Linked DNA regions of Diceros bicornis minor. The protein of the gene in region 2 binds, or shares a complex with, the protein of the main gene of each other region. Links are inferred from orthologs where the notes say so. Each region holds a gene or a part of one and is shown on either strand. Other genes may lie near its edges.

The links.
Region 1: EFTUD2 (region 2) and SNRPD1 share a complex: the UniProt entries of both Homo sapiens proteins name them as parts of the minor spliceosome. The link is inferred for Diceros bicornis minor from reciprocal best matches to the Homo sapiens genes EFTUD2 and SNRPD1.
Region 3: EFTUD2 (region 2) and CRIPT share a complex: the UniProt entries of both Homo sapiens proteins name them as parts of the minor spliceosome. The link is inferred for Diceros bicornis minor from reciprocal best matches to the Homo sapiens genes EFTUD2 and CRIPT.

The regions. Positions count from the first base shown.
Region 1 is NC_080755.1:13,552,011-13,560,456, forward strand, and holds the start of SNRPD1 (small nuclear ribonucleoprotein Sm D1), read right to left. Parts: upstream 3,489-8,446; 5' UTR 3,394-3,488; coding exon 3,380-3,393; intron 253-3,379; coding exon 176-252; intron 1-175. UniProt on the Homo sapiens protein: Plays a role in pre-mRNA splicing as a core component of the spliceosomal U1, U2, U4 and U5 small nuclear ribonucleoproteins (snRNPs), the building blocks of the spliceosome.
Region 2 is NC_080757.1:43,343,439-43,351,963, forward strand, and holds the start of EFTUD2 (116 kDa U5 small nuclear ribonucleoprotein component), read right to left. Parts: upstream 3,419-8,525; 5' UTR 3,219-3,418; intron 88-3,218; 5' UTR 84-87; coding exon 1-83. Other genes in the region: CCDC103 (coiled-coil domain-containing protein 103), read left to right, coding at 4,634-4,776, 5,402-5,534, 6,239-6,688; Ig-like V-type domain-containing protein FAM187A, read left to right, coding at 7,716-8,525. UniProt on the Homo sapiens protein: Required for pre-mRNA splicing as component of the spliceosome, including pre-catalytic, catalytic and post-catalytic spliceosomal complexes. Component of the U5 snRNP and the U4/U6-U5 tri-snRNP complex, a building block of the spliceosome.
Region 3 is NC_080751.1:38,646,940-38,654,696, forward strand, and holds the start of CRIPT (cysteine-rich PDZ-binding protein), read right to left. Parts: upstream 3,489-7,757; 5' UTR 3,402-3,488; coding exon 3,386-3,401; intron 1,388-3,385; coding exon 1,322-1,387; intron 573-1,321; coding exon 518-572; intron 1-517. Other genes in the region: PIGF (phosphatidylinositol-glycan biosynthesis class F protein), read left to right, coding at 4,135-4,155, 5,698-5,946, 7,359-7,450. UniProt on the Homo sapiens protein: As a component of the minor spliceosome, involved in the splicing of U12-type introns in pre-mRNAs. Involved in the cytoskeletal anchoring of DLG4 in excitatory synapses.

The DNA of each region.
Region 1 (8,446 bases), on a different chromosome or scaffold from region 2:
AGTACTTAAGGTGAGGTTTAAGTAAGAAGGTCAATGAAATAATTCAGACAAAAACAATGAGATCTATATGACAATAATGTTCATTAAGCAACCAAAAAAGAACTCTGACCTGCAGGTGCAAAAGATTAAAAAAAAAAAAAAAAAAAAGCGTTATAAAGCAGTCCAACCTCCATACCTGTGATTGTTCCATGGACCTGTGTTCCATTCTTTAATTCAATGGTTACAGTTTCGTGACTCAATTTCATCAAAAATCTATGAAGACAGTAGGAATAAAATGATAAATTTTCACTTTTAACACTTTAAAATCATGTTTATTAAGTCAAAAGGGTGAAATTTCCAGCTGTTGAAAATCTGCTAGGAATAAAATGATAAATTTTCACTTTTAACACTTTAAAATCATGTTTTAAGTCAAAAGGGTGAAATTTCCAGCTGTTGAAAATCTGCTAGAGATGTTATCTGTAACAATTCTTATTAATAATCTGCATAACAATTTCAGCTTTCCCTGAATTATACCCTCAACATTTATGAAGGAGCATAATAATAAGAGAAACTGCCATTTGGATATTTCTGATTCTCTAAACCATTATACTGGTAGTCTAGCGTTTAAGATTCAGTGCTCTCACTGCCATGGCCTGGGTTTGTTTGCTGGCTGGAGAACTACACCATCTGTCAGTCAGTTGTCATACTGTGGCGCCTGCGTGCTGCTGTGATGCTGAAAGCTACGCTACAAGTATTTCAAGTATCAGTAGGGTCACTCGTGGTGGACAGGTTTCAGTGTAGCTTCCAGACTAAGACTGACTAGGAAGAAAGACCCGGCCACCCACTTTCCAAAAAGTGGCCATGAAAACCCTACCAATAGCAGTGGAGCATTGCCCGATATAGCGCCGGAAGGTGAGAGGATGGCGTAACAAGATGGAACAGGGTTCCACTTCACTGTATATACAGGGTCACTAGGAGTCGGGATTGACTTGATGGCACTAACAAAAACCATTATATAGCTTAACCTTCAATCCAGACATACAGATCTTAAAGTTATTATAAGCCACAAAATTGAAATCAGGAAATTATAATTGGTAGTAAAAGATTACACACTTATTGTACATGTCTAAATACAGAAAAGTAAAAGTCTCCCTTTTTAACTCCCTCTTTGTATGCAGGGCTATTCTTCTACTACATTTTTACATGCGTTTATAAGCATATGCATAAACTTTGTTTTTACATAAATTGGACCATACTTTAACGACTTCTATGACTTGTACTCTCATTTAGCAGTTTATACTGAAGATATTTCCATGGCCACATATATATATTTTGCTATTACAAATCCATTATGCAAATCCTTATCAATACTAATTGTTACCAACCTTCTATCTCTAGGACAATCTCTAGGAAGACAAATTAGATGGCTAGAGTAGTATATAGGTTAAAGTTATAGTAACCAAGACACAGGAACAACAAATAGATCAACGAAACAAAATAGAGTCCGGAAATAAATCTACATTTATTTAGTTGATTTTCTACAAAAGTGCCAAAGCAGTCCAACAGGCAAAGGAAAGCCTGTTCAACAAATGATGAAATCCATAACAACATGGAATAATTAAAAATTCATATAGAAAAAATGAACCTGGACCTCTAACTCACACCACTTACCAAAATTAACTCAAGATGGATCACACCTAAACATAAAAGTTAAAATTATAAAGCTTTTAGAGAAAAACAGGAGAAATCTTCACGGTTTGAGAGTAGGCAAAGGTTTCTTTGGCAGTACATAGAGAGTAAGAACCATAAAACCAAAAGCTGGTAAATCAAGACTTCCTCAAAATAAACTTTTGCTCACCAAAAGACATTACCTACTAAGGAAATGAGCAAACAAACCACAAACTGAGAGAAATTATATCTGACAGAGGATACATAAAGAATTCCTACAACTCAACAATAAAAAGAAACAACACAAAACAAGACACTTCACAAAGACATACAAATGGCCAATAAGCAGGTGAAAAAGTGCTCAATATCATTAATCATTAGAAAACTGTTAATTAACACCATGAGACACCACTATACAAGGACTAAAATGGCTAAACAGATTGATGACAACAAATGCTGGTGACGATGTGGAGCAAGTGGAATTCTAATACACTGCTGGCGGGAGTGTAAAATGGTACCGCCTTGGAAAATGGTCTGGTAGTTTCTCATGAAACTAAACGATTACCTATGCTGTGATCCAGCAACTCCACTCCTAAGTATTTACCCAAGAGAAATGAAGGAAAAAAACACAAAACTTACACAAGAATGTTCAAAACAGTTTTACACAACATACGTAACTCTTAAATGCACAATGGACTACTATTCACTAATAAAAAGGAATAAATTAGCGATACACGTCACAATGTGGACGAATCTCAAAAAAAATATGCTGAGTAAAAGAAATTTTACACAAAAAGCAGGCATACTGCATGATTCAAAATATATCAAATTATAAATATATGAAACTATAAACACATTCAAACTGGCAGGTATCGAGAAAATGTACTTTAAATTCTGAGACTTTTTCTCCAAAAGTTCTAGCTCAAACAAAAATGGACTAAAAATTAACCTTAAATGCCTTCTCTACAAAGTCCACCCTGAATAAAATATTGACGGTTTTATATGTTATTTCAAACATACTAGAAACTATCTACTTGTCTGTCTTCATCACAAAACATAAAGTTCCAACAAGGCAGGGGCTCTACCTTCTGAAAAAAATTCCAGTATATCTCAATAAAGCTGGAAAAAGACCAACTTATGAAGTCAGAAGTCCAACCCCGATTTTAAAACATTTCGGAAATGGGTTTCGGTATTTCCAGATAAACTCCCGCAACTTCTAAGTACTCTTTTTAAGGGCGACGTAAGTTTCATCACGAAAAGCGGATCAACTTAAACTACTTTCGCAGGAGCATATAATTTTCCTTTTCTTTGTCTCCCACGTTCTCAGGGAGCGTGGACATAGCTATATTTGCCGGTTCTGGGAGCTGAAAGGAGCCAGAAAAGTAACCTAGACTAGAACACGAGTTGTACTCGATATAAAAATCGGTAAGGAACCGAAACTACGAGTTTGTAAGCCTGGCGCTGCACCTTCAAGGCCTCTAAGACACTAGGTGAGAAGAAACGTCTCGGCCTTACGTCTACTTCTTGGAAGACACGCGGGATCCCCGCGCGATTCAGTCCGAAACCCACGCGCGAGCGCCCGCGGCCTAGATGGGGCGGGAGCGGCGGGCGCCGGAGGCCGTCAGCAGGCCGCGCGCGCACGCGGCTTTCGCGCCTCCCGGAACTGGGGCAGCCCGGCTCCCGGCCCAAACCGTCCGTTCACAGCTCCCATCCCGCTTGGTCACCTCCTCACCTCACAAGCTTCATGCTAGCGGCGCCGTCGCCCTTTCGATCCGAGAGTGCACGCAAGGCCACAACCAAGCGCCAACGGACTGGGAGTATGAATGGCCGGAAACGCCTACTGCCGGGGCTCCGACGCAAAGAGCGCGCTGAGCACTGCTTACGCACGGCGGAAACGCCGAGGCCGGCTGGGCCGCACTCACTTCCGGCGCGAGGGTCGCCACAGCGCACTCTGGCGGCTGGAGGTGTACCTTGCGACTGCTGAGGGCGTTAGGACTAGTCTAAAAGGAAATTTCCCGCAAGAGGGAGATTTGAGGAGATTAAATCCAATTAGTAGGCCTGTCGCCGTCGCACTTCGCCACTACAGGGCGCCATGTGTTATGCAGCACTAAATATATCCCTGAACGAAGGGAAATTCTGAGAGAAGCCCAAAGGATTATGCTAATTCTGCTCCAACACCGGGAACCTCAGCATTACTTAATGTACCTGAAGAAAATCACACGATTTAGCTGATTATTTTTACCTTAAATTCTGACCACAAACCTCAAAGAGGTACTACTCAGAGACTGTGTTATGCTTCTATAATAATCTCACAAATTAGTTCATATCTTCTTTCTTTCCTCCTTCTGAAACCTTTTACAGGCCATCTCCCAAATCACTCTCTGCTAATGTTTCATACTTTTTTAAGAAAACAGAAGCCATCCTTCTGCTTTCTTTCCTATCGCAAGGGTGGAAGCATTGTTGCTTCTTTCAAAGGTAAATTCTTTTTCATTATAGCCTGGATCCCATCTCTCATTTTCTCAAGAATTTTACTCCTTCAGTTATCCCCTTCTAACTTGAATCATCAATTTCTCCTTCTCTACTGAATTTTTTCCATCAGCAAACAAATTTATCTTAGAAACAAAACAAAGTTCTCCTTTGCTGCAGCTCCAGCTACTGCCAGACTTCGATCACAGAAAAAGTTCTTGAATGAGCTGTCTACACTTATTTTATCATCTCCAATTCAGTCTTCAAACTACACTGAAATTGCTTGTCTAATAGTTATCAAAACCTCCAAGACAAACATCTATCTTCATCTTACTCAATATCTCAGAAGCATTCAACACAAACACTCCCCTTTTGAACACCCTCCTCTCTTGGCTTCCAGGACGCCAAGCACACCTGGTTTTATTCTTATCCTACTAGCTACTCTTTCTAGGTCTCCTTAGCTGCCTCATCCTCTACTGAGCCATCACATGTTGGAGTGCTTTGGGGCTTTCCCTGGGTGTAGTCTCCTTATGGATACTTTGGTCTTTAGCCTAGGTGATCTCCAAAACCACAGCTTTAATTTGTATCTCCAGCCTGGACTTCACCTCTGATCATCAGAAGTCTTGGGTATTGTAAGGCAATGCTCATCATATTTTAATATGCATAGGAATCACCTGGAGGAAACTTTAGAATGAAAATTCTGATTCAGTTGGTGTGGGGTCCGAAATTCTGCATTTCTAACAAGACTTTAGTTGATGAAGATGCCCCGAGTCCATGGACCACAATTTGGGTAGCAAGACTGTAATTGACATTTGTGCGTTGTCTTCTCAATATGTATCCTCTTCTCTTCCCAACAGTTCCTAATAGTGTCCTGGTGATCCATGTGGTCCTAAGGAAGCTGACTCTACCCTTAACTGTCACTCATTACATTCCACTACTTGTCCACAGTGGGCTTGGGATGTAAGCTGATCCAATCAGACCTTCGCAGGGAATACTCTTCCCTTTTGGATGTGAATGGAGAGGTAGTAGCCTCTGCAGTTTGGGAACTCACCTAGAACCAAGAGAAAAACCAGTCTTAGGAGAGACTTTTAAAAAAAAAAAAACTCATGATGATATTAATGAGCCCCTGGATTAAAAACAATGCCTAAATGTGCCAATTTAAATTAAAATTAAATAAATAATTATATTTATGTTTTATATATATTTTATATTTATTATATATATTTAATATGGTGTGAGACTTGTAAGGATTGCTATGCTCTGGATCGTGGCCACAAAACAAATATAGGGGAACAGATCACTCAGAAGCAGAGGCCTATTTTGTGGGAATGGAAACTTGTAAATATGGTTTGTGTGTGTGTATGCCAGAATTTAAGTTACTGAAGATAAAGTGGTTTACACATGGAAAGAAATTACACCAGTTGTCTGACAATCTAAAGGTGAAAGAAGATATAAGTCCGATGCTCTGGTAGATAACCAGCTTCAATCAGGTCAGCAGTCTACTCCTGACTTTTTTCCCAATTTAAGACATTTGGCATATGTCATTAAAGAATATACCTATAGGGCTTATATATATATAATATACCGCGTGGCTTAGCTGTTAAGTACACGCGCTCCGCTACTGGCAGCCTGGGTTGGGATCCCGGGAGTGTACGGACGGACCGCTTCTCCCGCCATGCTGAGGCCGCATCCCACATACAGCAACTAGAAGGATGTGCAACTATGACATACAACTCTCTACTGGGGCTTTGGAGGGAAAAAAAAAAAGGAGGAGGATTGGCAATAGATGTTAGCTCAGAGCTGGTCTTCCTCAGCAAAAAGAGCAGGATTAGCATGGATGTTAGCTCAGGGCTGATCTTCCTCACAGAAAAAAAAAAAAAAAAAAAAGAATATACCTATATTAGGAACTAGAGGTGGGGGAGGCAGTAGACAGGCTTTTGCTAAGCAACACAACCTACGGTGATGTGGGTAATGGCCTCACCTATTTTGTTTTTTAAACCATGGAATCTCCCCAGACTAAAGTAACAAGCAGTTCAATAAAGTTTTGTGGAAAATGTCAGAAAAACATCAGGCTTCTCAGAGCACATTTTGGTTGTACCTGGCTTCAAAAAAAGAGGTCAGGAAGGGAAGAACCTACCTATGATCACCTCTCTTTAGATTCTCAAAGGCAAGAGTAGCGTTTATCCATCCTCATATATCTGCAAAAAAGGAAGGAGTAGCACAGAAAGCGTTCAAAAGCAGTGTGGCAACCACGATCCTAGTGACAGAACGCTGGATTCTATCTTTAGAGGCTTCGAAGAGCCAAAGCTTTATCTGAATACCGGCCATGACTAAATCTAGTGGAACATTATACAAGTTCTTGTCGACGCTTGTGCTTTGGTGCACAAGGAGGAAAGTGTGCACGGAGACGGTGAAGTCCTGCATTTTTTGGAAGCGAGGGAGTGCAGTGCCGCGGAAGGAGAGAGAGGGTCAGTTATCTCCTTTTTTCGTTACATTGGTCCATGTCGAAGATTAAAGGTATGTAACCTAGAGGTCGCAGAAGAGCAGTACCCGCAACCAACAGAAGAAGCGGGGGCGACGAATTTCCACGACAAACCACCACCGCTGGGGGCGTGGGTGTTATTATTCCATGAGACGACCGCGGGAAGAGCAAGAGGCCGCCGCCAGGGGGCGCCGCCGCTTCCCCGCGAGCAGCCCACCCGCGGTGAGCGCACGCGAGGCCTCCCACCGCGCCTGCGCCGAGGATGGACGCAGGCTCCCTGTTCCCCGACGCCCAGCCGTCCCGGCCGGGGTGAAAAACGGAGTGACACGCAGCGAGCGTGGCGGCCATCTTCGTCTTCTGGGTACGTCAGCTGAGCCGGTTAGGGCTGAAGAGGAACGTTGCGCAAGCGCGCCCAAGACGGTCGCAGGTAACTCCCATCTGACCGGCGAGGCGTCGCCGTCGTCGCCGGAAGTTCGGCGTTTCTGCGCCGCGGGAGAGGCGGCGGTCGCGGCAGAAGCGGCTGAGTGTCTCTTGATACCCGGATGTGAGGCGATCTGCTGGCTCGCGTTGGACCCTCAGCCGGGAGTGAGGAAGGTACGCGAGCGTCCCGACCGTCCCCACCGCGTGCTGTCGCGCCGCCTGCGTCCTCGCCTCCCTTTCTCCAGCCCCTCCGGAGAGCCGGAGGGTTCTCCCCCTCCCTGTCCCCCTTCTGTGTCGCGTTGTCTCGCACGCCTCTTCCCACTTCTTTGGTCCGGGCTCCTGGCGCCCCTGGGAGGGGTGGGAGGCGACCAGCCTGCGCGTCTCGGCTGCCCAGTCGTCGCATCACCTGCTGCTACTTGCCGGGCGGTCAGAGGTAGTGAAGGGGCCGTGACCGCGGACAGGCGCAGGCCGGGGCTCCCTAGGCGGCCGCGAGGGTTCACAGAGCGCGGCGGTCGCTTGCAGCCGTTGCGACTACTGGGGCGGTGAGGGCGGCGGCCCGCAGGTAGCCCGGGCCTTGTCCCCGCCCCCGGCGTCCCTCTCTCCCGGCGTCTCCCCGGAGCCAGCCCCACCAGCCGGCGCGGAGCTGCCGTCCCTGCGGCTTGCTCCCCTGCCCCCGCCGCCCCTCGCTGACCCGGCCTGAACCCTCAGGCCTCTGCAGTCTGCGCGGCGGGAGATGGGCATCTTGGTTCCTCAGTCTTTAGCCTGGGAGGGGAGCAGTGGCCCGGCTCCAAGCTCATAGAGCAGTTCGAGTTGGGCAGGGGGCGTCTGGGCACAGGTAGGGCTGCTCTGGCGTAGAAATGGGTGTATTGAGGGCCGTAGTGAAGTTTATAGAGATAGAGAGAAGCGAGCAGAAGGAAATTGGTCCTCGATTTTCATCACTATTCATAAGGTTCTTTTACTACAGGGGTTTGTTTTACTCAGGCAGAATGGGATAGCAAGTCCAAAAATTAGAGAACTCTCCCACCCCCACACCCCCAACCTTCCCCTCCCCCACCCCTCAATGTTAAGTTCTGAAAACCGAGCAGGTACGGTGTTTTCCGAGAGAGGAGGGCGCAGCAGGGAAGGAGGAAGGAGTTAAATCGTTGAGATTTGAGAAGTGCTGTGAACCTTGTTTTCTGTAGCCTTTGGATAGTTGAAATGGATTAACTGCAGCACAAAGTATTTCAATAGTATCATCGAATGATATTTCAGTTAATAGTCTTTGCAGAAACCAATAAGTGAATGCTACTCAGTGGAATAGTAGGATGTTGTGTGGGTTTTGTTTTTTCCCTACCTAAACATTAGTTTTTAAAAAACTGAGTAAAACACGGATTTCAGTTTAAAACATTCTGGTTTCAGATAACTATGCTGTATTCAGCCTCTCTTCTGATT
Region 2 (8,525 bases):
CGGCCCAATTCATCATCATCTTCATCAGAATCAAGCTCTGGTCCAATATAATTCCCAAACTCATCATACAAGTCAGTATCCATGATGCTGAAATTCAAGAAGAGGAGTTAGATTCTGGCAAGGTAATCAAGGCCTCCATGACACGGCCCCACCTTTCCAGCCTTATGGCTGACCATACCCCTTCACACATTTCCTCTCCAGTTACACCAACCTATTGACTGCTCCCCCCAAAGCCATGTGCCCGTCTCCCCTCTCTGCTCTACTTGTTGTCTCTGTTTACATACTCTTCTCACTTCTTTTTTTAATAGTAAAAAAATTTTAATTTTAAAATAATACTAGAAAGTTGCGAAAATAGCTCAAATAACTTTCTTTTTCCTAAATCATTTCAGAATAAGCTGCTGACACAATGCCTCATGTATTCCCTAATACTTTAATGCAGGCATTAGCAAACTATGGCCTGTAGCCAAATCTGGCCTGCCACCTGTTTCCTACAGCCCCCAAGGTAAGAATGCCTTTTACATTTTTAAATAGCGGAAAGGGGCCGGCCCGGTTGGCGCAGGCGGTTAAGTGCGCGCGCTCCGCTGTGGCGGCCCGGGGTTCACTGGTTCAGATCTCAGGTGCGCACCGATGCACCACTTGTCAAGCCATGCTGTGGCGGCGTCCCATATACAGTGGAGGAAGATGGGCACGGATGTTAGCTCAGGGCCAGTCTTCCCCAGCAAAAAGAGGAGGATTGGCAGATGTTAGCTCAGGGCTGATCTTCCTCGCCAAAAAAAAAAAAAAAAAAAAAAAAGTTGAAAAAAAATCAAAAGAATAATATTTCATGATACATGAAAATTAATTATATGTAATTCAAATTTCAGTGTCTATAAAAACAGCTTTATCGGAACCCAGCCATGCTCATCCACTTATATTGTCTGGCTGCTTTCACACTGTCACAGCAGAAATGAGTAGTTGCAACTGAGCCCATATGGCCCACAAAGCCTATAATATTTACTATATTTTAGTAAATATATAGGCCCTTAATAGAAAAAGTTTGCCAACTGCTGCTTTAGTGCGTGTGACTCCTACAAACAAGGACATTCTCCTACAGAACCACAATACAACCATCAAAATCAGAAAATTAGTATTGACACATTACTACCACCTAATCCACAGACTCCCAGTGAACTTTCACGAACTGTTCCAATAATGTCCTGCACAGTAAAGGACCCAATCTAGAATCACATATTTGCATTTAGTTGTCATGTCTTGAGTCTCTTTCAAACTGGAACAGTTCCTCAAGTCTTCCCTTGACTTTTATGACTTGACACTTTTGAAGATTACAGGCTACTGAGCTTGTAGAATGTCCCTTAATTTGAGTTTGTCTGATGTTGCCTCATGACGAGATTCAGGTTATGCATTTTTGGCAGGAATATCCCAGAAGTGATGCTGTGTTCTTTCCAGTGCATCTCCCATCAGGTGGTACACGATTTTAATTTGTCCTATTAGTGGTAACGCTAACTTAATCACCTGATTATGGTGGTGTCTACCAGGCTTTTCCATTATAGTTACTTGTTTTCTCTTTGTAATTAATAAGTATTTCATGGGTTTTCTCCACTTCAATTATTGACATTCTATTCAAAGTAAGAGTTCAAATGACACTTCCTTCAAGCTTTCCTAGATCTGCAATTTCTCACTCTCCTATGCCACTATAACCTTTTGCACCTTTATCAGCATTTAATTCTGTCTTGAATGTCAGTTAACTGTACTAAATACCCTCACCAACAACTCTAGAGCTTACAAGAAATAAACAGCAGACCACAGCATGAGTTAAGGGTTAAGGCTCTGAACCTGGAAGATCTAGATTTGAATCCTAACTTTGTCACTTAATAACTATGTAACTTCAGGTAAGTTATGTACCTAATAACTATGTAACTTCATCTCTCCAAACCTGTTTCCTCAACTGGAAAATGGAGTGAATAGTCCCCATTGCATAAAAGGTTATGAGAATTAAACAAAATAGTCTGTGTAAAGAATTTATACAATCTCAGGCTCAGTAAACATTAGTTAGCATTATTTTTTGGCCATTCTTGAATTCACGAACGCTGAGTTCCTTGTGCCCACCTGCCAATGCCCCAGACAGCACCATGCATAAGAAGGAACTAGATAAATGTTAACCGAATGGACTGTTTAATTTTGAGATACTGATATTCCTTGTACTAGGCTAATCCCTCCATTTCCCTCAATGCCACCTGTTGAGTGCTGGTTGTAGATAAAATAGAGAATTAAGAGCTCCAAGGACAAGTAATTAAATGTAAATTATAATGGAAACTTTCATACACATCGAGATTCTTTTTACTTCCAAAGAGCTATCACATCTATGCTCATTTCATTCTCCCAAGACTCCCACGTAGTGATTGCAGAAATTTTTATAGAAGGCTCTTCATGGAACAAGCCAAGCTCATTTCTGCTGCTGGGCCATTGCACTTGCTATTCTCTTTGGAAATGATCTTCTCTTGGATATTTATACCTTGTTCCCTCATTTCACTCAGGTCTCTACTAAAATGTCACCTGCTCTGAGAAACCTCCTTTGTCACTCTAAAAAGTCCCCTATACACACACTCTCCAATCCCCACTTTCACTGTTTTATTATTCTTCATAACATTTATCCGTAGCTGACATATTCATGTGTTTACTGTCATCCCCCCAACTACAATTTAAGGAAGGACTTTGTTTTGTTCACTTGGAACAGTGCCTAGCACAAAACAGGACCTCAATTAGTATGTGTTAAACGCATGAATGACTCCAACAAGGCACAGAGAAGACAGCTGATTTGTCCACAGTTGCATAAAACTAACGACTTGCGGTACCAAACCTCACTGCTGCTTCCCGCTATAACGCAGGCTCTCAACGGAATACAGAATAAGGACAGAGGGAGCTTGGTAGAGAAAGGGTGAAGGCGGAACAGATGGAAAAGGGAGTGAGAGGGGACTGGACAGTGAGAGCACGACCCCTGCCCAGGAAAGGGGTTTTACGAATGAATGATATCGAGGGAACCGCGGAATTGGGGTGCGTGTGTGTGTGGGGGGGGGTCCTTTCTTTCCCTTTCCCGCAGAACGCCTCCATTTACCCATCTGTAAATTGAAAGAATCAGATAGCATATAACGTCTCTTTCAGATCGGACATTATTTAATTTCCCATCCCACTTCCCATGCGGTTGACCCGCGCCAGCTCACCTCCCGACCGCTTAGCCAAAAGCTCCAAGTCTGCCACCGGAGACCGCGCTTCCGCCCCACGCCGCGGCAATGTGTGCGCCCGCCGTCCAGAAGGACCCCGCAGAGGCCGCCGTCGCGTTTCTGCCTCGGAGGACAGCCCTCTGCCTGAGGACCAGCTCGGAAGAATGCCGGCCGCGGACACAGGAACAGGCGAGGTGGAGTTGTGGGCCCCCAAACCAAGGAGTGGGCTGCTCCCAAGAGAGTGAGGGCTGAGCAGGCCTGAATCTGATCAGGCGCCTTGGGACCACACTGAAGGGGGCCTTCGGGTCGATCACGTGAGCAGGCTGTTGGAGCAGTTGCTGGGCAACCACAGCTGCTGGGCGTGGTCTACACTGAGCTGTCCTGTTCTCGCGTATCTGGGGATCTTCAAAGAAAGCAAGGGAATCAAGGCCAGGGCTGGTGGAGTGAAGGTCAGAGGGTCGGAAGAGTTAGTTCTATTTATTCAATGACTGGGGAGGGCTCAGAACTGGACAGGAGCCAGGACACTTGAGTTCAGTTCCTGGCCAGCCCAGCGCCCTTCTTGGTGTTCAGCTTACCCACTTTGGGGTGGAGGGAAAGGGCTATGGGGTTGCTTGCAGACCTCCTGCCTCCCTGCCCTAGGGCCGTTGATGATGACTCCGCCACGAAATCTAGCTCAAAGCACCGTGAATCTGAGGTTCAAAGAGGTCTCACAGCAAGTAAATGCCAGAGCCAAGACTAGAACACATATACAGGATCTCCCTGTAGAAAGGATCAGTCAGCCTCAGATACGTGCAGGCTGCAGAAGTACAGGGGCAGAACTAAAGAGGTTGCTCAAGTACCTAGGGACTTGTGCTGGAACCCTGGGCTGGACAGAGGGATGTGGGGACAGGGATCATTAAGCCCCTTCCTCTGCCTAACTTCTACTTGATTTCCTGCTTAGTCATTGCATCTGGTTTGGTTGCAATGTATCTTTCCCAGATAAAGACGGTTGAAATTTTATCCCAGGGCTCAAGAGCGGCTAGCAATAGTTCTGCTTTTGTGTGAGGTTCTCTATCACAACAACTTGCTATAGAATGAACCCATGTGGAAGAGTTAGTGGACTGAATTCTGAGATCCAAATACCTCCTCAGCCAAGCATCAAAATTAAAGTATTTTTAGAGGCAGAGATGAAAATTAAAGCAAGGCTCCAATCTGAAAGTCAGGACTCTCTATTTTCAGTGACAGCAAGTCTTAAGCAAGTCCTCACTGTGCAACTCAGCTCCCCTCTGTAGAGAACTAGATATTTGTAACACTCCCCAAGATAAGTGACAAGATATCCAGAGTGGTTTTGGATCATTTTGTGGGCTGGCAAAGACTTCATATGTACCCTCTTCCCCCTGATATTGACCCTTCTCTGATGTCCCTTTGCACAGGCCATGGAAAGAAATGACATCATCAACTTCAAGGCGTTAGAAAAAGAGCTGCAGGCTGCACTCACTGCTGATGAGAAGTACAAACGGGAGAATGCTGCCAAGTTACGGGCAGTGGAACAGAGGGTGGCTTCCTATGAGGAGTTCAGGTTGGCCTAATGCTGTTTTTCTCAGGCCCTCCTGTTATGGTGAACAGTAGTGGATAAGAGCATGTGATTTGGTGTCAGACAATTCTGGGCTCAGTCCTGGCCCTGCCTTCTGCTACCTGTGTGATCTTATGCAAGTTATTTAACCTCTCTGAGCCTCTATTTCCTCATCTGTAAAAGAGAGTAATCATTTTTATGATTAAATAAGTTATTACATGTAAGATTGTGAGCACAATGTCTGGCACATGGGAAGTGCTCAAAAGCTGTCAACTATTGTTGCTGGTGTTATTACAGTCATTCTTTGCTGAACAATGGAGATATGTTTTGAGAAATGCGTCATTAGGCTATTTCATCATTGTGCGAGCATTACAGAATGTACTTACACAAACCTAGGTGGTATAGCCTACTACACATCTAGGCTATATGGTATTAATCTTATGGGATCACCATTGTGTACGTGGTCCGTCGTTGAATGAAACGTCATTATGCGGCACATTATGATTGTATTGTTATTATTGTTGTCATATTGGTGTGCCAACAGGTTCAGCCTATATCACGCAAAGTCCAGCCACCTCCCATACACAGACAGCATTAGGTCCATCCTCTGATCTGTGTCTTTTGCTCATAGGGGTATTGTCCTTGCATCACATCTGAAGCCACTAGAGCAGAAGGACAAGATAGGAGGAAAGAGGACTGTGCCCTGGAACTGTCACACTACTCAGGGAAGGACTTCCCAGGACGAGACCACTGAAATCTCCCAGGTAGGTGAGGCCCAGCCTTTCAGCCCAGCTGGATTCTCTGCCCTAAACCTCCAATCCTGTCTTCTTACAACACATACTTTTTCCTTATTTCTCATGTTAAGCCAACAGAGGCAGGTTTCTGCCTCCAATCCCAGAAAGAAAAGCAACTAGTGGATGGTGAGGCTGAGTTAGACTGGGCAGAACAAGTCAGAAAGGTGGGCGAGGCAGCTCCCTTCCATCAGTCCTTTGACTTGCATTCCCAGATCAGATTTGGGTTGCTCTGCCTCTGGGTTATATGGTGTATAGTATAAAGATTCTGTGGCAGTGTTGGGAAGGAGACCCAGCCTGTCAGATTCTTAACACTCACCTTGAGTTCCTTTCTCTCTTCCTGAGGTTTCTGATCATCCCCTACGCCCTGTTCCAAGTAAACCCTCACTTACTCTCCTAGAGCAGGGCTATGTCTGCATTCATCAGTAGGAAAATCCTGGTACAACTGAGAATCTCAAATCATGGCCTGGGTTCCTTGGGACCCTCCTGCCCTGTCCCCTTCCCCGTTCCTTCCTCTGAAAATGAGGGACCACCTCTGAAAAACAGGGACCACAGCCTTCCCAGTGCTCAGGGAGCAGTACCAGAGCTAAGATGGAAACCTAGAGGCTCCCCTCACTCTCACTGTTGCGGAACAGCTGGAAGAGCTCAGGACTCCTTTTCCTTCCTTTGTGATCCAGAACATACTCCTCCAGCCTGAGACCTCGGCAGACTTCTACCGTGATTGGCGGCGATACTTGCGGAGTGGGCCAGAGCGCTACCAGGCCCTGCTGCAGCTCGGGGGTCCAAAGCTGGCCCGCCTCTTCCAGACGGATGTGGGGTTTGGACTTCTAGGGGAGCTGCTGGTGGCACTGGCCGATCACGTGAGGCCGGCAGACCGGTCAGTGGTGCTGGGGATCCTGCGCAGCCTGGCCAGCACCGGGCGCTTCACCCTGAACCTGAGCCTGCTGAGCCACGTGCAAAGAGAGAGCTGCAGAGGCTTGTTTCAGAAGCTGCAGGCCATGGGCGCCCCCAGACCCATGAAGGAAGGGCTCAGCCAGAGGGAGTGGAGTGTGGAGGAGCTGCCTGCTGGGCTCCAGGAGGAGGAGAGGCTCCTCCAAGAGCTGCTAGGGCTGTACCAGATGGATTAATAGGACCAGTTACCTTCAGAGGCCCCCAGTGCTCATTGGAGGACTTTTTTGGTTGTTGTCTTGGGAGCTCTGCAGGACTGTAATGAGAAACCCACACCTAATTCCCTTCTCAACTTGGAATTTTCAGTGCAAAAGCAGGAATCGAATCTTCCCTTCTTCTCCAGCCCTGCGGTGGCTCAATATTCTGAAGTGTGTAGATCCACAGGATGGTCAAGGGCCCAAGAAGTTGAAAGTGTTTTGCTTCTCACCCTTACTGTCTGCCAAGCCTCTAGCCCTCAGCCCTGAGAGATGGGTGTGTGCCCAACCAAATGCTGGCTACACCCGTTACAGCCTCCACTCAAAAAAACGGGAAAAAGGAAAATCATTAATCTTCCATGGTAAACAAATACTGATCTCCATAGCTCTTAACAAGAATCTTTATAACTTAAAACCAATGAATGGACATTTAATCCACAAATGATCAAAGGGTACCCCATTTGAGGTGCAGTATTTTTTCCCCAGGGGCTGAGTTCCTTTGCAGGCTGGGCCTGGGAAAGCCCCAAGCCATTAGCTCAGGTCTGGCCAGCTTCCCAGGCTTCTTCAGGTGGCCAGATGTGCAGGCCGGCGGGTTTCCTTCAACTCCCAGATTAACCAAAGGGAAGACCTTCCCACTAGGTAGGCAGGGCAGGGCCTGGAGCAGAGAGGCCGAGATTTCCTGTCCTAGCACCTGGGCCCTTGCTTCTCATTCCGGTTTCCCCTGACCCATTCTTGGGTGAGTGCCAGTGTTCTAGAAAGGGGAGAGAGGGCCAGGTTCTAGAATGGCTTTCCCTCCAGATCATGCCTGGAACATCAGAAGGGTGTCTTGTATATCAGCTGGGAATAAATTGCCTTGCTTTTGGCTGCTTGCTTTACAGATTGTTACTTCTTTTCCTGGCTATTTAACTCTTTCCTCATATAGATGCCTCCTCCCAGCAGTGATTTCTAGAAGCCCCAAAGACCTTTAGTGCCTGGTTTTGCCTGCCCTCTCTGACCCTTCCCTCCTGCAGGCATGAACCTGGCCCACACCACTGTGCTCCTGTGGACGTGGGGGAGTCTCCAGGCCTTTGAAATTGTGGAGAAGGAGAACATTTTTCAGAGGACCTCTTGCCCGGCTTTCCTGATGTTTGACAATGCAGCCTACCTGGCCGACATGAGCTTCGAGCTTCCCTGCCACTGCAAGCCAGAGGAGGTGTCTGCTGTCGTCTGGTACTACCAAAAGCACCTAGGTAGCGGCCACACCAAAGTGCTGACAGACTTCGATGGGCGGGTGCTGACAGAGGAAGCCCAGGTGCGTGTGGGCAGTGACATGCTGGTCCGCTTCAGCATCCGCATGTTCAGCCTGTTGGTTTTCCGGGCCCAGCCTGAGGACTCTGGCTTGTATTTCTGTGGCACCCGCAAGGGGGACTACTTTTACGCTTACGATGTGGACATCCAGAGCAGTGAGGGAATGGTGGCCACTTTCAAGGACCAGGGCCAGGAGCCCTTTGAAGACGAGTACCATGGGAGCCTCCATGTCTTCACCACCTTCTGGGAGTGGACCCCCTGTGACCGGTGCGGGGTGCGCGGGGAGCAGTGGCGCCTTGGCCTCTGCTACCTGCAGAGCCCAGACCTCTCCCCACGCTACCGCAAGACACTGCCTGACGTGGTGTCCTGTGGTTCGCGGGCTGTGCCAAGTAAGCTTCAGGCCAAGGCCAGGCACCACACACCTGAGCTGCTGGTTCGGAGCTGTATGGTGCCCTGCGAGAAGAACAAGGTGGTCCGGGAGGGCATAATGGCCATCTTCAACTATGTGTCCAAAGTGGGCAGCCGGCCCTGGGTG
Region 3 (7,757 bases), on a different chromosome or scaffold from region 2:
CCTGGAAGGGTTCGTGGAATTTTTAAGACTGCATTTAATAAAGCATGCTGTCAAAAATTATTTTTAAGGTAGGAAATTCATTTTTATGCCCATTCTCAGATGAAAAAGTAAAATTCAAAAAAGTTAAGAAACTGGCTTAACTTATTTAACATCACAGAGCTAGACAGTGACAGAGTCTAGATTCAAATTTAGGTCTGATTCCAGAGCTTATGATCTTTCCACACTTCTCTGTTGCCTCTGATTTATAGCATAATTAAGAACTAGAAAAATATAAAAGTTGTGTTTTCTGGTGAAATTATAAAAAGAACGTAACACATACTTTCATATATTGATACAGTAAAGAGGAATAGGGTAAAACTAGCAGGTTATAACAGATAGCTTGGTTTTGCAGACCAGGAACTATCTAATTCTATGCTTTATCACCACAGAATAACGCACACCAAATTCACCCCAGTACACGCAATATTAAAAAGAGTGGAAATTTATATGACTGCTCTATAGGTGCTCCTATACCTACCTTGCTTTTTTTGAGGTCAAAGCTTTATTTTCGTTCAGCTTTCTTCCACCACTCTCTATAACAAAATATACACGTATTTTAGTGGGTCATTTCCACACATTTCACACATAACATAATCATATAGCATTTAACAATTAGTTAATAAGTTCATTTTTCAACCTCCTACCAACAGACCAACCTATACGAAAATTTTCAAAATTCCTCAGTTAATAGCCAGGTTCTTAAGACACTACTTGAAAAGAAAACAACTGTTTATTGGGGAAACAATAAAAAATTGGATAAAATGCAATCATTTTACTTCTTAGACTCAAAGTAGGACTTTAGGAGTGGGTCTACATTTAATGCACTAATGTAAAATCTAGATGCCATTACTTTGGTGCCATAGACCTTGAAAAAGTGTTTCTTTTCCTTCCCTTTGAAAACATCTTCATTGTACTGAATGATTATGAAGGTGAAAATATTTAAATGATTTCTTCAAGAATACAAAAATCAGGTGAGAAGAGGGGGAATTAAATACCAACTCCAATTAAGTTGAATCAAATCAATTACTTTGATATACTCAAGGCTTGAAAATCATTTAATTATTTTGCTATGTCCTATTTACCAAATTAGGAACCCCAATATGTAACTGAGAGAACTAAATAGAAGATATTAAATTGTTGCGGGATCCAGTATTCTTAATGTTTAATACATGAAATATTTTCTACATATAAAAACATTTCATTTTCCAAATGATGTAAAAACTAAAACATTATTCACAAGAAGTATTCAACTCAATTTCTATGTTCTAAAAGGAAAAAATACCTGTGGTATTCCTTGCACCATCTTTCCATGTATCTGGAGTGATAACAGTACCCAGTTTCTTTTCACCTGTTACAAGACAGTAAAAGTAAGGGGAATTAGTATTTACTATCTAATAAATACATTACATTGTGCCTAAAGTTCACAATTGTATCAGCAATCATATTATAGTAGAAGCCTGTTAATGCTGGGGTCAGGGCCAATGAACCAAGACTTAAGATATTAACTGTGGGCAATGGATGACGGACTCTCAGTAAAATCTGTAGGATAATAGTATGGTTTATAATAGGCTTCTTATGTACATGTATACTTTATATAAATCTGACAAATCTATTCATTTCATAAATATTTACTAAGCACCTATGATCTATAAATCATTGCACAAACTACAGAGAAAAATAAAATGATAAATGAGATGAAGCTCTAGATTTCAAGGAGCTTATAGTACACTGATTTCTCTAACAGTAGTCCTTAAGAGGTACATGAACAAGATGAAACTGCACACAAACCTTTTGTATGTCCATTTCTTTTACAGACTCTGGTAAGAGTCTATAGCTTTCATCAGCTTCTCTAGCTTTCATCAGATTCTCAAAGGGCTCAGAGAACCAAAAAAAAGTTAAGAACCATTCAACTAAAATACAAGCTAGAAAATAAAAAGTATAATAATTGAGAGCTAAAATAAATTGAGAGCTAAAGTACTAGGAGAAATTCCACGGACGAAGAAATAACCTTGTCTAGGGAAATCCAGGAAAACTTTGTGCGGAAGGCAACTGAGAGGGTTTGTGGCAATGTGACTGTGAAGAAAGAGGAGGAAAGAGGATGAAGGCAAACTAGATAAAGGACACAGCCTGAGGAAAGGCAGGGAAAGCTCAGAATACACAAGGGCATGCAAAATAGTTTGGTTTGGCCAAAGTGTGAAGAGGGTAATAGTTAGTGACAATTAAGTTGGAAAGATAAGCTGAGGCCTTATGGTGGAGGGTCATCTTGAATGCCAGGCTCCAAATACAGAAACCCCAAATTATTCTCTGCACACTGAGAATTTATTAAAGTAATCTGACCATGGTCATCCTTTTACCTAATATAAGAACTGTTATGCAAACTCATGGATGTCTGTGCTCAAAGTTTTATCTACTAGGGAGATATAAACAAAATGGATCATGTTAGACAGTAACTGGATCATGTTAATGAGACAGCAATGAGGACAAGAGTTCTTGAAACCTTGTGACAGAAGAGCCAGATATGTCTAGTGTGAGGAAAAAGAGACTTGGGGATATGACAGCTGTTTTTAACATATAAACGGTTTGTGAGGTAAAAAAAATCATCAGATATTTTCTAGAAATCTCAAGGGTTGGCATTAGAATCACTGGACAGCAACTATAGGGAGGAAAGACTTTTCTAAAAGTCAGTGAAGTATACACAGACTCATTTCAAGGTGGTGAGACTCTCCTGGCCCCAGCCTCAATACTGTAGATATTCATGCAGAGGACAATTAAGCCAATGTATGGAATACTGACTTACGATTGTTAGATAAAATACAGATGCTCAGTTAACTTTAAATTTCAGATAAAAAAAATGAATACTTTTTTCTGTAAAGAATGTCCTAAAAGTCCTCGGGGACAAAGCACTTGCAGTACTAAGGAGCAGCAGAGCCAAGTCTCAAATATTGTACGGGACACATTTATACTAAAGATTATTCGTTGTTTACTTGAAACCCAAATTTAACTGGGCGTCTGGTATTTTTTTGCTAAATCTGTAGATGCTGTAGAAGTCAATTTTAAGACCCATTCCCACCTGAGGGTCTGTGAGGCAAGAGAGCCAGTCAGAAGCTGTTTGGGATGAGATCTGGGGTTGCTGGAAAGCAACGGAAATAGACCAAGAGGTGCAAACTGAGACCAACCTATATGGTCGTTGGGGAGGGGCAAGAATGGTCAAACGGCAGAGTAGGAAGACAGGCTAGAATCAGAGTGCTGTGGCCGCTGGCAAAACAAAGAAAGGGCCAAGTTCCCGGGGAACTCCAGTTAGGTTCTTCCAGCCTCCTTCTCCCGCAGAAGCCACCCCTTAACTCACATTTTTCGCACACCATCCTTCCGCGACGGTTCCCTTAGCCGCAGAACGAGCAGCGGGTTGAAAACATCAACAGCACTGCCAGGGAAGAATTCCCCTTCCGGGTTACGGCAACCCACTTCCGGATCCCCCGCCCTCCGCCCCGCCTATCCTACGCCTGGAAAGCCGCGGGAGGAATAAACGCGGGCGGAAGGCGGGGCTGCTTCCTTTGCCCGCCCCTCCACTTCTGCGATTGGCTGTGCGGCCTTGGGTCTCCCCGCCCCACAGGCCTGCGCCTGCGCGAAGGTCAGGGCGGCGAGTCGCACCTGATGGTGGGAGGTAGTAGGTCTCGCTTCTCTTCCGCAGGTGGGCGAGTTAGGTAAGCCCAGTCTAAGGCTCGCGGCTCGCGAGCTTCCCGGGGGTGAAAGCAGCCCCCGCCAACTGTCCTAGTGGCCCCGAGCCTCTGCCCCGTTCCGCCCGCGCCCCCGGGCGCTCGAGCGCCACTCTTCCGGCGTGCCCCAGGGGCTGCCCTGATGGACCGGCCGTCTTTGGGATTTGACCTTCTGTGTCTGTCCCTCCGTTTCTCCTGGGCTCCATGCCCGTTCTCTTTGATTATGCCTCTCAGCTCGTCCCCTGCTGTCCACACTCCTGCCGGCTGAGGCTTGGGTAGAGTCCCGAGCTACACAGTTTGAGGTGGGGCTGCAGATAAAGGTCCCGCGATTCCCGCGAAGGCTCCCCTGGGAGCAGCTCAGAGGGCCTCTTCTCCCGCCACAATGCCTGTGGACCCGGGCCAGGTCAGAACGCGGACGCCGGGACTGAGGCCGCCTCCGGGGCGTCCCCGTGGGCTCGCCAGGGCCTAACACAGTGCTGGCTTCTCAGGAAGGGCAAACACTTGACCCCCTCTCCGTTCGTTCGTTCATTCATTCGGCAAGCATTTGAGTTTGGGTACTGCTCACTGTATTAGATCCAAATCCTCTGATGTCAATTGGGATTCGGAGCGTGGCCCAGAAAAACGTCCTAAGGGGTGTCTGTTGAGACAATGTCTTCCGGATCCCCCTTCCCACCCCTCAATCAGCCAAGGATAGGACCTGTGAGAAACTTTTCCTTTCTCCCTTGCTATTCATTCTCTTCTCGACCCCTAGTGTGTATCTTTTGTCAGAGAGACTAGGTTTTGAAATGGATTTGGCACTCGGGAGCTTGGGACCTTGACTTGTCTCCTAACCTGTCTTAGCCTGTTTCCTTATCAGTAAAATATTTGCCTTTGAAGATTGTAGTGTGAATTAAATGAGATCTGTTAGAATAAGGCCTGGACTTGCCTTTTTGCGCTAGTGGGCGCCCCCTCTGTGTGTGTGTATAAAATATATGTTTTTTTCCCTAGCGTGTTCACCAGAATGTGAACTATTACTTTAAATTAATAAGGTCCTTAACATTATTCAACACTATGTATAAGCTGTCTGTTAGGTAATGAATAATTAAATATATATAGAAAATACGTGTTTTATGTATAGAGAGAAAGTACATTTTTTTCTCTTTTTCCATTCTTGCTCCTTTTTTTTTTTGGTGAGGAGGATTAGCCCTGGGCTAACATCTGCGCCCATCTTCCTCCAGCAGTGCATAAGTCCGGGCCGTGAACCTTGGGCCACTGAAGCGGAGTTCTGGAACTTAGCCACTGTGCCACCAGGCCGGCCCCCATTCTTGCTCTACATTTGATTGGAGTATAGCACCTGTAACAGACACTGTCATTTTGGTATTTCTGGAGCACTGGGGTCCCTTAGTTTAGCATAATGTTCTTTGAACTCTCTTGATTACACCGGCCGTCATTTGAGTATTTGAGTTTGCAGTTGGTGTCACTTGGCATTTGCTAGAAGATGTGAACTCCTGTCATGTGAGACAAAGGTCTACAATGGTGAAAAAAACAAACATGCCAACAATTTAGCCAAAGTGTATTCATGGGATTTTTAGAATGCATAGGTTATATTTCCAGCTGGGGGAGGTCATTAATCCATGCAGTTAGTTTTCACCTCTGTTATTTTGGCAAAAAAAAAAAAAAAAAAAGAAATTGAATTGCTTAATTGGTCCTAGCACATGACTCTGTTGCAGAAATCAGTCGCAAATATTTAAGAACTTAGTAAATTTGTCTTTTTTAGGCTCTGAGAGCTATTTGTACCATATTAGTCTACATGTGCATTTACGCATATGCATCTTATTGTGAAAGCAATACCTTGTTGCCCGTAGAAAATTGACTTTGGTTCAAGGCTTATTTTTAGGCGTTAGAGCATTTAGGATGATGGAAAAAGTTATTGCATATGCTTTTTTCTTAATTTGTTTTTCATTAGATAGCCACTCAAGAAAACACCATGAAAGATACTGATATCAAGAGACTACTGTATACCCATCTTTTATGCATATTTTCAATTATCCTAAGCATCTTCATTCCATCATTGTTCTTGGAGAACTTCTCAATATTGGAAACACACTTGACATGGTTGTGCATCTGTTCTGTTTGTGTAACTGCTGTCAATCTAGTATTATATTTAGTGGTGAAACCAAATGCGTCCTCTAGAAGAAGTTCATTATCATACAAGGTAAGGCTTATTTCTTGATAACTGATTTTTAGATGGAGGTAGCGTTTCTTTTAATGGAAGAATAAAGTATTAGTCAAGTACTCATTGGGTTATTTACAGTGAGTAAAGAGAACCTGATTTCTTTGTCAAATCAGTAGCCTATTTGTTGGAATGCTGCTCACAATGTTTAATAGATCCTTGCCGTGCATTAGTTGTGAAATTAGGATGTCTTTTTTTTTTTGTGTGAGGGAGATCAGCCCTGAGCTAACATCCATGCCAATCCTCCTCCTTTTTGCTGAGGAAGACTGGCCCTGGGCTAACATCTGTGCCCATCTTCCTCCACTGTATGTGGGACACCACCACAGCATGGCCTGACAAGCGGTGCGTTGGTGCGCGCCCGGGATCCGAACCCAGGCCTCCAGCAGCGGAGCGTGCGCACCTAACTGCTACGCCACGTGGCTGGCCCCAAAATTAGGATGTCTTAAGTGGATATTATAGCTTTGTGAACCCATATAATCAAGTTTTATGTGATCATTGGAGATAAATACATATAGCAGTCATAACTTTAAACCTTATTTTATAAGACATTTCAGTTTATTTTCATTTATTTTTTGCATTTCTGAAAGACACTTAATGAGGTTTTCAGAAATTAGAAAATAAGACTCTATGATAGCTCTTGTTTCAATATGGCCTTCCTTAACTAAACAGTAAAGTTTTCAGATAATAGAATCTGTTTTCTGAAATATTCACCACAGTGTAACACTTGACTATTACTTTAAATTAATAAAGTCCTCACTTAACATTATTCAATACTATGTAAGCCCTCTATGAGGTAATTTTAAATACGTTTACTGCCCTATGATTAAAAAAGCTTATTGCATGTTTTATAATTAGATCTTCTTAATCTCCAAGTCAAGTAGGTCCCACACACTAATTTACAAACATGTAAGTCTTTTCATGTGGATCATCTAGTAACATGAACATGATTTGGAGAATTATTTAGTATTGTGCTTTTTTTTGGTGTAGTTTTCCTAGGGATTTTGTTTTAAAATGAAAAAAATTATTATAGTCATTATTTTCTGCAAATATTTCATGTGTGGTCACGTGTATGTGATCCCAGCACTCTGTTATTGGTAAATATTTTATAAATACTGATTAACAACATAGCTCAATACATACCATGGAAACAAATGCATTTTGACTCTAGTGTTGGTTGGGTGGGTGGAATATGGGGGTGATGCTTGCTTTGTAAGGCTGTGTTGAGGGCTGTGTACCTGATGGGACATGTGATCTGACTGCAGGGTACCCAAATCCAAAGAACATTCGACTGTATCACACATTATGGGAATAAGTTGTGTTTGTAGGTAAAATGGAGGCATTTGCTGTTCTTTAGGCATTCTCTTGAGTCTTTAAATTATTCATTTCTTTTTTAGGTAACCAGATTTTTGAAATGCTGTATCTATTTTCTTATGTCTTGTTTCTCCTTTCATATAATTTTTGTTCTCTATGGAGCACCACTAATAGAGTAAGTCTGAAATTTTTATCTGAAGGCAATTTTTATCTGTGGCAATTATGTTTTAAAACACTCATTTACTAGATAATGTGCTAATTCTATTGGTGATTAGACGAAAACCATGGTGTGTTTAATTAATGGATCAAGTAAGGATGCTGACACATTGCCCTTCCTTAGCAGTGTTATTCTTTTAAAAAACAGTGGAATAACTTAATTCATTAAATTCTCCTATTACCTAGCCTTATGTCACCCACTTGCATGTGAGGAGGAGGTAGATGAGAAACTCTACTATACCAATAAATGTGTGGCCCTTAGAACC